Linked DNA regions of Cricetulus griseus. The protein of the gene in region 1 purifies or fractionates together with the protein of each later gene. This does not show direct contact. Links are inferred from orthologs where the notes say so. Each region holds a gene or a part of one and is shown in the gene's direction. Other genes may lie near its edges.

Evidence for each region.
Region 2: the proteins of Arrb1 (region 1) and Nfkbia purify together in Homo sapiens (affinity purification with western blotting; 3 studies listed by BioGRID and IntAct, with this or other methods). This does not show direct contact. The link is inferred for Cricetulus griseus from reciprocal best matches to the Homo sapiens genes ARRB1 and NFKBIA.

What each region holds. Positions count from the first base shown.
Region 1 is NC_048596.1:99,978,863-99,985,183, reverse strand, and holds the start of Arrb1 (beta-arrestin-1), read left to right. Parts: upstream 1-2,191; 5' UTR 2,192-2,413; coding exon 2,414-2,469; intron 2,470-5,115; coding exon 5,116-5,146; intron 5,147-6,321. UniProt on the Homo sapiens protein: Functions in regulating agonist-mediated G-protein coupled receptor (GPCR) signaling by mediating both receptor desensitization and resensitization processes.
Region 2 is NC_048598.1:146,912,573-146,918,701, forward strand, and holds Nfkbia (NF-kappa-B inhibitor alpha), read left to right. Parts: upstream 1-2,386; 5' UTR 2,387-2,466; coding exon 2,467-2,693; intron 2,694-3,232; coding exon 3,233-3,341; intron 3,342-3,672; coding exon 3,673-3,883; intron 3,884-4,156; coding exon 4,157-4,245; intron 4,246-4,367; coding exon 4,368-4,628; intron 4,629-5,079; coding exon 5,080-5,127; 3' UTR 5,128-5,616; downstream 5,617-6,129. UniProt on the Homo sapiens protein: Inhibits the activity of dimeric NF-kappa-B/REL complexes by trapping REL (RELA/p65 and NFKB1/p50) dimers in the cytoplasm by masking their nuclear localization signals.

The sequences.
Region 1 (6,321 bases):
TTTTTATTAATGTGTTTGTCTGTGTACATGTGTGCAGATGCTTGAAGAGGCCAGAGGAGTCATACCCCTGGAGCTGGAGTTACAGGTGGCTGTAAGCTGCACGGTGTGGATACTGGCATTAAACTCAGGTCTTCTAGAAGAGCTGTGTGTGCTCTTAAACACTGAGCCATCTCTCCAGCCCCCTTAATCACTGTATCTTTGTAGTAAGTTTTGAAGTTGAGAAGTCCAAGCCTTCCAAATTTGTCCTATTCTTTTCAGGATTGTTTTGGCAGTTCTTCTCCCTTGCATTCCCCTGTGAATTTCAGGATCGGTTTATCATAGGCATTCTCCTTGTTGGGTTCCAGCTGGTCTGCTGCTGTAACACATGCCTCAGGATTCCAAATTTTTTGTTTGTTTTTTCGAGACAGGATTTCTCAGGATAGCTTTGGAGCCTGTCCTGGAACTCTCTCTGTAGACCAGGCTGGCCTCCAACTCAGAGATCCACCTGCCTCTGCCTCCGAGTGCTGGGATTAAAGGTATGAGCCATCATCACCCAGCTCAGGATTTCAAATTTTACAATCATGTATCTGACAGGACTCAAGCCTCTCTGTTTGTACTACCATGTAGCAGAATATCCAGAACATTGCTGAATTTAGCAGCCACAGAAAGACAGTGTGGTAGGCAAAGCAATGCTTTGTCCCAAGATGTCGGGGTCCTACTCCTTGGGGCCTCTGAATGTTGTGCTATGTGGCAATGGGTAATGATGGTTGCAGATGGGCTTCAGGCTGCTAATCCGATGACCTTAAAACAGAGAGATCATTCTGGATTACCCAGATGGTCCCTGTGTCATCTCAATGGTTTTCAAAAGGAAAGGGAGGGCAGATCTGAGTGATGCCGTATATAATGAGAAGGCCACCTTCTCTCATTGACTTTGAAGATGGAGGAAGGAGGAGGCTTCCAGAAGCCAGAGAGAGTAGGAAGCAGATTTGCCCTAGAACCCCCCAGAAGTAATCAAGGGCTGCTGACACCTTGATTTTAGCTCAAGGAAGCCCACTTGAATTTCTGAAGCACAGAACTCTAGTTAAGTTTGTGTTGTTTGAAGCCACTGAATTCGTGGGACTTTGTAAATAGCAGCCACAGAAAATGAGCTTGAAGGGTTTGGGGACCCATGGATGGTTCCTTCTGTGCCTCTGGCTGAAAGTGGCATGTGACATTTGCACCCGCATTTCATTGGTCAGAATAAGCCACAGGGGGGCGTCCAACTCCACAGGAAGGAAGATGCCTGGCATCCCATACATCCAGCCTCAGGGAATCCTGGTGCCTGTAGGGAGTATCTAGTACATCTTTGTTGCCTGTAGCACTTGTTTCTATAGTCTAGTCCATCCCATTTCATTAAAAATCAAAAAATAAAGCCAGGTGTAGTGGCACTTATGAGGCTGAGGCAGGAGGATCTCTGAGTTTGAGGCTAGCTTGGTCTACATAGTGTGTTTCAGGATAGCTAGAGCTACATTTGTGAGACCCTGTCTTGAAAACAAACAACCAACCTCAAAATATAATCAGGCATAGGAGCGCATGTCTTTAATCCCAGCACCTGAGAGGCAGAGGCAGGAGAATCACTGTGAGTCTGAAGCCAGCTTGTTTGTATTTGAGTTCCAGGACCCTGCCTCAAAAAAAAGGATCTCTGTGTATGTACGTACTGTATGTGTATGTGTGCGTAGAGGCTAGAGGTCAACTATGGATGTCTTCCACTATCATTCTTCACCTAATTTTTTGAAACAGGGCCCATCACTAAACATGGAGCTTTCTGTGAACCCAGAGCTCTTTATGTAGGCCAGACTGTGTGGCCACAGAAGCCCCCGGGATCTGCCTATCTTTGCCTTCCCAGTGCTGAGGTTACAGGTGCAGCCTGCCACATATAGCTTTTACATGGGTACTGGGCATCTGAACTCAAGTCCTCATGCTTGTGAAGCAGGCGATTTATCCACTGAGCCAGCTCTCCGACCTGTAATGTTTTAAGTAGGTTTCCTAATCAACCAGTGACTTGCAACCTCTGGTTTGGACAATACTAATCTCCAGAGCCTCTTCTGCTCATGCTTCATGGACCACAGGCTATGTCCTGGACACAGGTGATTGGGCCAGGGGGTGGGGTACCTAATCAAAGCTGACCAATCAGATTCCTCTCCTGGGAATTTGGAATTGGGCCATTCAGTCAGTTAGCAGCGGGAAGCTGAGTGAGAGGCAGGGTAGAAACAGGGTTGGAGTGTGAGTCACATGCGAGCCCAAAGGATGGAGGAGCAGAAAAATCCCTGAGTAAGCGGGGCGCGCTGGTCCACAGAGACAATGGAGCAGCCGCACAGACAGCCTCGCAGCCAGGAGGCCCTGCAGCAGCCCCAGAAGGAGCGGTGGAGACAGGGAGCTACGGCTTGAGGCTCCGATGGCGTCCCCATTCTCAGCTCCGGCCCCAGCGCATCCTGCCTGCTCATCCTTCCCGTGAGATTTTGGCCTCCTTATTAGGACCTCCTCTTCTTTCTCGAGCTATCCTGAACCTTAACCAGGAAGGACACTGCTGGTCTTTCTCTTTGGGGAACCCAGCTGTGACTAAGGCTCAGGTTGTGGGGCACAGGCAAGGCTGGGGGTGAACAGACGCAGCTGCTCAGCAAGGCTGGCTGGGATTGTGGGCTTAGGTTAGGCCACGGGCAGAGAGGTCTATGCGGTGTTGCACACGTGGGGTTGTGGAAACGGAAAATACCCCATAGAGCCTCTTTTCTGACAGTGTTGGGGCAAGAAGTGAGTGGAGTTTTGAGTGGTGGTGCTTGGCTATGTGATGGAGTGGTTGAGTCTCGTGGGTGCCTCTTCGAGCCTCAATGTCTCCATCTTTGAAATGGGATTGTCCAGGAAGAGCCTTGTCCTGGGAAAAGTACTTAAAGGCATGAGTGGGGAATAATAAACAGACAGAGAATGAGGCAGCTGCTCTTGTTGTTTGAGGAAGCCACAAGAGTCCTGGCTTCCTGAAGGAGGTGGCCTCGGGTGCTGACTAAGGTAGTGGCAGGACATTCCCCACTGATGGCTGTGCTTCCTGCCCCTCTTCAGCCCCACTCTGCCCCTCACCCCAGTCACCTTTCATTTATCCCTCTCTCCCTCCCCTCTTGTCTGTTCTTCCTGCCGTTTTGAAACATGGATTTAGGAAACAGTGGGTTGGATTAAGGCACCAATCTCTGGAGGCCCAGTCAGAAGTGAGTCTGGGTCCCGACCTAGCCCCTTGCTTGCTGTGCTCCTGGGCAAGTTAATGCATCGCTTGGAGCCTCCAGTTAATTATCTGTGGAGTGGGAGTTAGACTATCCTTTCTACTATGAGAAATAATGAGCTGCTCGGCAGAGCTTTAATTCCCCTCCCCTTTGCCTCTCTCCGCTGCTTGGTGAATATTGCTCCTCCTGGCCCCACGTGTGCCTCGTCCTTCCCGGCAGCCACTAGAGTGGCTTTCTCTCTCAGTTGTTTATCCTGCCTGGGTGTGAGATCTTTCCTTTTCCTTAGAGCACAGGCTACCAAGGGCTGGAGGTAATTGTGACTTGGAAGCCACAGGGTTTTCACTTCTCTGGTTTCCTGGAGAAACATGGAGCTCCTAGCTTCTAGCTTGGAGTTGCTGGTTCAGATGGAGTGGTCTGCATTTTTTTCCCCTTACTTTAACAATTATCACACCCTGGCCAGTTGTGGCTTCTTCACACTCCCAACACTGATAAATATTAATGAGAAGACAAGGCTCCCAGGGCCCCTAGGGGAATGTTTGGGGAGAGGCTGGGCCACGCTCTCCTTTGCAAGCAATACTCAGACCTGTCAATATTCCCTAGGTCCCAGAAGGGAGGGTGAGGCAGGGCCATGGCTGTGGAGACCCCACACAGTCACAGGCCTGGATGCCTGCAGATCAGCTTCTGGGAAGGATTGGGGCACACCCTGCTGAGGCTGCCTAGGGGTTTCACCTTTCTGGGTCTGTCCCATCTCTCCCTGCTTCAGGCTTTCTGATTCTTTCCCTGGTTTTCTTCTCCTCCTGTCTCTTGTTCATCTTTTATTTTCATACCTCTACCTCTGTCTCTCTCTTCTCTCTTCACACCTCCCCTCCTTTCAATACCTTTCCTCATCCCCATCTCTCTAGCTTTCACTTTTCTTCTGCCTCTCCCCAGTAATGGCTGAGAAATTGTGGGCTGGATAAAGGTACTTAGGCGAGGGAGACTCGGGTTCCCAGACACAGCTCTAGAAGGGGAAAGGTTGCCATGAAAGGCAAGTGGCACTCTTCAGGATTTAGGGACTACATTACCATCTAATCTCAGGCCCAGTGCTCTGCTATTCGAGCATAGGCATCTGCCCCCACATTCCTGTGCCTCTGTCCCTCAGTGAAGCAATGAAATTCATTCATTTATCTGTTCAACTAGTTTATATTGTACTCTTGCCACCCTCAATCATTTAACAAGTATTTCTTGAACAATAGTGACGTGTGCCTTTGTGTGTGTTTGGGATGTACCCGTGGACAGGAGAGACAGTGGGCATATTTGGAGCGGGCATGCCAGCAGAGCAGACAGGTGGGGCAAGAAGTAAAGTATATGGTCAGGGGGTTGCTGGGAAGAAAGGAAGAGTGAATCAAGAGAAGGACTGGCTGACAGGGGTAGTGGGATTGGGAAAGTGGGCATTTGGGAAGAGTGTCCAGGGTAAGAGAGTAGGGTAGGGGAAACTGGGAGCAAAGGCCTTGTGCAGCAATCACCTGGTGGATAAGGAACGAGGAACAGAGGGGCTGGAGAGCAGTGAGGCTGGAGACTAAGGGAGGGTGGCAGGAGGTGACATAGGGAGGGAAAGAGGCCAGGTCAGATCACTGGGACTTAGCAGGCACTGAAGGATTTTCCTTTACTCGAGCTGGGTGGGCTTGTGAGTCTCCCTCAGCCCACTCTGAAGGATTGAAGGAGGGCTGCAGGCAGCTAACATTCATCCTAGGAGGAGAGGTGGAAGGAAGGAAGCTGTCCTGCTCTGAGGCTTTGCTGGTCCCTGTAGGACACTCAAGGCCTTTATCTATGGCCCTGTCTAGGGTCGCCTGCAAGAGATTGGCTGGGCAGAATCCATTAACCCTGGCTTGGCCTCTCTTTCTTTTCACAGAGTGTTCAAGAAGGCAAGCCCCAATGGAAAGGTGAGTCTGTAGTGTGTGCTGACTCCTCACTGTTCCCACACTCTGGGTGCCTCTGTGGATTAGGAAAGGAAGCAGCATCTCCTGGGAGAGACAGGCACTGTTAGCTGTCTAGGGCTGACACAGCTCTGTCCTGAGGGCCATAGGAGCCCAATGGGATGTGTGGGATGTGGGGGGGAGAGCTCCCTGGAAACTTTCTGTGTGGGCTTCAGGGAGCCCCAGTTGGGGGAGAGATGGACTGGCTTCTCCCAAAGAGACATCAGTGTGAGTGTGAGAAACTGAGGCAAGCTGGCCACTGTGACACCATCAAGTCCCCTGGTGTGAGAGGTCATGGTGTCACCTCATCCATCCATCTTTCTTCTGGGACTCCCAGGGCCTGGGCTTCTTGTTTGCTTGCACAGGCTGTAGGCTGTATCCCATTTTACTCTGTTCAGCAAACAGGTAGTACTGACATCTATGCTAGGTCGGGGCTGGGACTGCTGGGGGTTGGGAGGGTACCAAGATAAGAGAGGCATGGTGCTCCCAGTGTGAAAGTTGATCATCTCACACAGAATGCCAAGTGTGAGATTCTGGGATGCCCAGGGACTGGAAGACCTTGCCTGGGATGTGTGTGTCAACCATGGCTTCTTCTGGAGGTGACACAGTTCTAGGCAAAGCTAGGTGAAGAGGGGGATCTCTAGGGTTGAGCATAAAATCCAAGAAAGTGTGGGGCATCCCAGGGTTGTAAGTCTCCAAGCGAAATGAAGGAACAGTGTAGAGGATGACACAGGGCACATGGCAGTTTCCTGTGGCTGGGCTTAGCAGCTCACACACCCTGGGTTGCCTTCTGCATGTCTATATCTCCATTTGGAGTCCATCGTTAATCATCTTTAACCTCTCCTGCTGAGCCAGGATCAGTCCTATCTTGGATTCCTTGGCAATCTAGGGCCACAGGCATCCCAGACCAGTCAATTAGATTTGGTACTGAGAATGAAATCGGACTGTCATCCTTACCCCTGAGGCAAGGGAAATGGTTAAAGGGTTTTCAGAAAGGCACAGCTGTCTGAAACAGCTGCTTGCTTAGATTTGCGTTTTAGGTGTGGCTAAGGTGATGTGAGCAGCTGGAGGCTACCAAATGTCAAAGGGACTGATGTGGTCTCCCTTGAAGAACATGATGGAGTAGAATGGTCAGGACTGTG
Region 2 (6,129 bases), on another chromosome or scaffold:
ACTCTGTAGAACAGGCTGGCCTCAAATTTGGAGATCTGCCTGCTCCTACCTCCCAGCCACTCTGATGCCACTGCCAACACCACCACCTGGCTCCTGCTATACATTTTGAAGAACTAATCTCCAGATGGAAAAACATGTACCCTCTACTTTACATCCCAGGTGGAAGAGAAAATACTTTTTTGGAGGCCTGGGAGGAGGGGAAAGGGCTTTTCGAGACAGAGTCTTATGTTGCCCACATTGGCCTTGAACTCAGCTAAATACTTTGAGTATATTCCAAATTATACTATATTTGGTCTCATTTTTACAAGGTGTTTCCAAGTGTTAACATGACATCCACTTTAGCAAAATGATTACTATATTGTGGTAGAAATTAGACAAGCTGTCATTGGGTGCCTGGGTAAATTTCTAGGTATTTTGTCTTTCTCTTTAGGGAAATGGAAACAATACCTAGCTTACAATATTAATTCTGAGAACTAACAGTGTGATGCATAAAGGGCTGGGATTCCTCCAAAAATTTATACTGTGATTTTCCAAAAGCCCATGCTCATACTTCCAAAGCAGAGCGGGGCATGTATTTGTAGACAAATGATACAATTTTGAAGCCACAGAGTATCTCAAATATGTCAGGACTGACAGTCTACAGCTGCAATCCCAGCACTGGGGGGTGCTGAGGCAGAAGTCTTACCAACAGATTAACCTGGACAACCAGGTTTCAGACCAACCTGGGGCTACAATGTGAACCCTGGCTCTAATTATCTCATGGGCACAAATCCAACCCCACTACTATAAAAGCAAGCATACCACATACACACAAAAAGGCAAATGGCTTCTCCCACTAATGTATTTAATGAAAGACAGAGCCTGGAATTGAGATCTCCTACTTACAATCAGTCTCACTTGGCCTCAATAATTGTATATGTGCAGAGCAAGCCTGCAGGGTTGATGAACAGAACTCACTGGGAAAGTTTCATTTTAACATGGGATCCTTACTATCTGGAGGTTTTGTTTTGTTTTTTCATGGATTTTACATCTTTCCCCCAGTGTCCTCACATCCATATACTGGGGAAGGGGATGGAATTATGAAGAGAAAGGAGAGTTGGTATATGGCTCATCAAGAAAAAGATCAAGTCTCACCAGAAATCTGAGGAACTACAGAGGCCTCTTGGGTCTGTTTCTGACAAAGTCTGACCCAAGGTGCCTTACTTCTCCTGAGCTAATTCTAGAGGGAGTTGACAGATTGCAGGCTCCTAAGTGGAGAAGGGGTGAAAGCAGATATTCTATTTCTGCAGGTAAAACTAGTGCATCACAGGACCAAATCCCTTTCTCTGGGGAGTAGCTACCCACAATGCTGCCTTCCCTGGGGAGCAAGGACCCTGGAAGAGCCAGCAGGGTTCAGATGTGGTCAATGTGAGGACTGCCTTGAGCATCCTACAGGATGCCTTGCAGCTACTTTCTTAGCTATAATTAAGGGCCAGCCTTGGCTAAAGTACTAAGCCAGTTGCTCCGCTAGGCACTCACCATAAACTCAGACTCCATTCTCTGCAGCAAGTGGTAAATCTGACACAAGAACTCAACAGTTACTGTTGCTAGGAAGCTACAACTTCTACTGCAAACACTACTACACCTTGCTCTACTTTTTTTAAAAAAAAAAATGTGGTTTCTATTTAACACTTTTTCCATACATAGCTAGAGTTCGCCCTCCCCCAGGAGACAAGATTATCGAACCCTATTTAATATTCTAGGGGTTCTCCAAGCGCTTGGGTGTTTTTAATGTCAAAGCTTCCCAGCTTCATGGGGTGGGGGTGAGGGACGGCCAAATGTCCCTGCAGTGCCTAGAGCCTGGAATGGGCAAAACACAGACGGCCTAGTGACACTCATGTCTCCTTCCTCGAAGAAATTTATGAGAAGCGAATCCCTGCAGTCAGCCAGCATTTCCACTCGTGGGTTTTCAAAAGATCAAAAACCGGAAAGGACCTGCAAATTGGCAAATCGCTAAGAGGAACCGCCCAGCGGGTCTGCGTCCTTGGGATCTCAACAGCTGAGGACCCCACATCCAATCGACAACGGTGGGAAACCCCAGGGAAAGCAGGGTTCTTGCAGAGGCCTGGGGTTACTGAGTGCAGGCTGCAGGGAAGTACCTAGAGGGAGGGGGCCTGGTCCGGAGGACTTTCCAGCCACTCAGGGCTCATCAAAAAGTTCCCTGTGCATGACCCCAGTGGCTCATCGCAGGGAGTTTCTCCAATGAACCCCGGCCCTGGGTTTAGGCTTCTCAGTCGAGGACGAGCCAGTTCTTTTTCTAGTCTGACTGGCTTGGAAATTCCCCGAGCCTGACCCCGCCCCTGAGAAATCCCCTGCCAGCGTTTATAGGGCGGCGCGGCGGCGCTGGCGAGCCCACAACAGTCGCAACTCGCCGCCCAGCCGCCAGCAGCTTGCAGCTCGCAGCCCCGCACGCAGCCCCGCGCAGCCATGTTTCAGCCAGCCGGCCACGGCCAGGACTGGGCCATGGAGGGCCCGCGGGACGCTCTCAAGAAGGAGCGGCTGGTGGACGATCGCCACGACAGCGGCCTGGACTCCATGAAGGACGAGGAGTACGAGCAGATGGTGAAGGAGCTGCAGGAGATCCGCCTGCAGCCGCAGGAGGCGCCGCTGGCCGCCGAGCCCTGGAAGCAGCAGCTCACGGAGGACGGAGACTCGTAAGTGGCGGCGGGCACGGGCGGCGGGGTCGCGCGCGGGAGGCCTGGGGTGGGGTGCGGTGGGGACCTGCAGCGCGCTCGGGGCTCTGCACGGAGGGAGCACGACGGGGCTCCCGGGGATGGCGAGCGCCCAGGTCGCCTGCCTCCCCATCCCATCCCCCTTCTCCTCCCCTGCCAGGGACCCGGCGTAGCCGAGCGCAGGCCGGGGGCGGGGCGGGGCGGCCGCGGGGACGCCAAGTCCCGGCCTGGCAGTTGTGCGCGCAGCCGCCGGGCGCCGCGCGGCCGCGAGGGGAAGTACAGGGCGTTCCGGGCGGCGGAGGGCGGGCCGGTCTGGCCGGCGCCCGCCCGGAGGGGGTGGGGCACGGAAAGTCCCTGGGCCCCTGCCAGGAACACTCAGCTCATAATAACCTCGCGGAAAACACCGCGGCCGCGGCCTCCAGAAACCCCGGCCTTGCGCAATCCCCCGCAGCCCGCGCCTCTTGGGGGCCCCCACGCAGTGCGCTCACCGCCCCTCGGGGGCTTTCCCTGTCATCCCTCAGGTTCCTGCACTTGGCAATCATCCATGAAGAGAAGACTCTGACCATGGAAGTGATTCGGCAGGTGAAGGGAGACCTGGCCTTCCTCAACTTCCAGAACAACCTGCAGCAGGTGCGCGCTGCCCCAGCCGTGCCCTCTTTGACCTGGTGGTGGAGTTGGATGTTAGCTCAGTCGCCCCCAAAGTGTTTCTAAATTAATAGTCACTGAGCCCTTATCTGCCCTGGCCTTTTACATTCAAATTAGCCAACATCTTAGAGCTTGAAGAAAATCCCAGGGGTTTGGTGAGGTCTTTACGACCCAACTGGGGCTTCATGTTTGCCTGGTCCCCTGTAGCCATCAGGGAGGAGCAGAATTCACAAGGAGTTGTCTGGGGTTCAGGAAACTCAAGACTATGGATTTGCTCCATGACTTATCCCCGTTCTGTTTCCTCTTCCGTTTGTAGACTCCACTTCACTTGGCTGTGATCACCAACCAGCCAGGAATTGCTGAGGCACTTTTGGAAGCTGGCTGTGATCCTGAGCTCCGAGACTTTCGAGGAAATACCCCTCTACATCTTGCCTGTGAGCAGGGCTGCCTGGCCAGTGTAGGAGTCCTGACACAGACGTGCACACCTCAGCATCTCCACTCCATCCTGCAGGCCACCAACTACAATGGTAGGTCTATCAGTCCATCCCAGGACACAGAGAAGGGAGAGGTGGGCCCACTTGAGTCTAGGCTAGAGCCTAAACTCTCAACATAAAACGTTCAGACAATATGGACTTTAAAAAAAATCCCTTCTTGATGTCCTTATAATAATGTTCAGTCAAAACTCAAATTCTGAGTTCTTAAGAATTGAGGATATTTGTGGTTGTCCCATAAGAAAATAGGGCACGAGTTGTGTGACAATTGAAACAAGTAGTTATATTTTTTGTCTCTTATTCCTCTAGGCCACACGTGTCTGCACCTCGCCTCCATCCATGGCTACCTGGGCATCGTGGAGCATTTGGTGTCTTTGGGTGCCGATGTCAATGCCCAGGTGAGTGCAGTTCCCTTCTAGTTGGAGCCAGTCAGGTTCCTCCTGAACTCTTCCAGACTTGTTCTTACTGCAAGTGGATTTCCAGATGTGGCCTTAAACATGTCTGATTGCTTTGGTTTCAGGAGCCCTGCAATGGCCGGACAGCCCTCCACCTGGCAGTGGACCTGCAGAACCCTGAACTGGTGTCGCTCCTGTTGAAGTGTGGTGCTGACGTCAATAGAGTGACCTACCAAGGCTACTCCCCCTATCAGCTCACCTGGGGCCGACCAAGTACCCGGATACAGCAGCAGCTGGGCCAGCTGACCCGGGAAAATCTTCAGATGCTGCCCGAGAGTGAGGATGAGGAGAGCTACGACACAGAGTCAGAATTCACGGAGGATGAGGTGAGTGTTCGTCACTACCAGAATGGTCCATTCTCCCTCACCCCTCTCCCGTCCCTAGAGCAGAACTAGTCTTTATTATAGGGATCTCAACATAATTATTTAACGAAACGCAGCTTGCAAAACCAGTATCCCAAGAACTTGTCTCTCTGATTTGTTTTAACCCTTGGAGGTGAAGGGAGGTTCTGGAGTTTGAACCCAGGCCTTAACACGTGGTAACAGGCATGTGTTCTGCCATTGAACTACACCTCCTGCCGTAGCTTAGATTGTTTTTAAGGGAGAGAATCAATGAAGGAAAACTCCGACAGCATGGGGGATTCATTCTATTTGGGTTAAGGAGGAAAGAGTCCAAGATTGTGAGTTATTTGCAGAAGCAGTCCCCTCCCCTCATCCCAATGTCTTGGCAAAGTTCTAGGAATTTAATATGCCTTTTTTTTTTCCCCTCTTGTTTTAGCTGCCCTATGATGACTGTGTATTTGGAGGCCAACGTCTGACATTATGAGTGGAAAGTGTCAAAAAGAACATGGACTTGTATATTTGTATAAAACAAGAGTTTTATTTTTCTAAAAAGAAAGAAAAGAAGAAAAAAAAGAAAGAAAGGGATATACTTACCACCACACTGCACACAGCCTGCCCCCAAGCATCTTACTCTGGTGATGGCAGATTGTTATTTTTGTGAAATGGGGAAACAGATCATTGGAATTCAAAGAAAATGTCTTTTAAAGCTCACATTCGTGAGGTTTTGGGAGGTGGTTTTCCAGACTGATGAAAGGGACCACATTCTATTTATTGTGCTTTTGACTGAACGGTAGATCTGGTAGCTGAGCCTGGTATGTCCTCACATGTAGAACCAGGTGTTGAGTGGTATGTGCTAGTCACTCCCGACTGAGGTTTTTGTTACCCTCTTGTAAATGTTGTATATGGTGTATTTTGTTGGTAATTATTTTGGTACTTCTAAGATGTATATTTATTAAACAGATTTTTACAGACAGCATTGTCCTGCTCATTTTCTATTTTGAGAGTAGCTTGTTCCTGGAGGTTGAGAGCTGAGGGGGTGATGCCCAGTCAGCTAAGGAAGCCCAGAGCAGCTCCTCACGTAAGCCCAGCCTTTCCCCAGCAAAGCTTTGCCGCCCTCCAACCCCTGTGTGGGTGGGAGGCTGCTAGGGTGACAGGAAATGCCAGCCTTGGGCTGGGGTACCAACAAACCACCTGGCCTGTCACTGAAGGCTCTATTGTCATTTTCGCCTTGATTTAAGCAGTTCCAGAACCCTACTTGTCACTGAACTGAGTTTGGACAAGAGGGAATCTGCTGAATTCATTTGATATAGCTGGGAAAATTCTCAAGAGTGGACATGGGCTCAGGAAAGTACTCCTGCCATCTAGCAGACAGTCAACCTCTGAGACTTCTTATTTATTGACTGGGCTGTTGTAGACATTGCACAAGACTAAAATACAGACAGTATCAGGCATCTAGTGCTTAGGGAAAAAAAAGTACACAGCTATT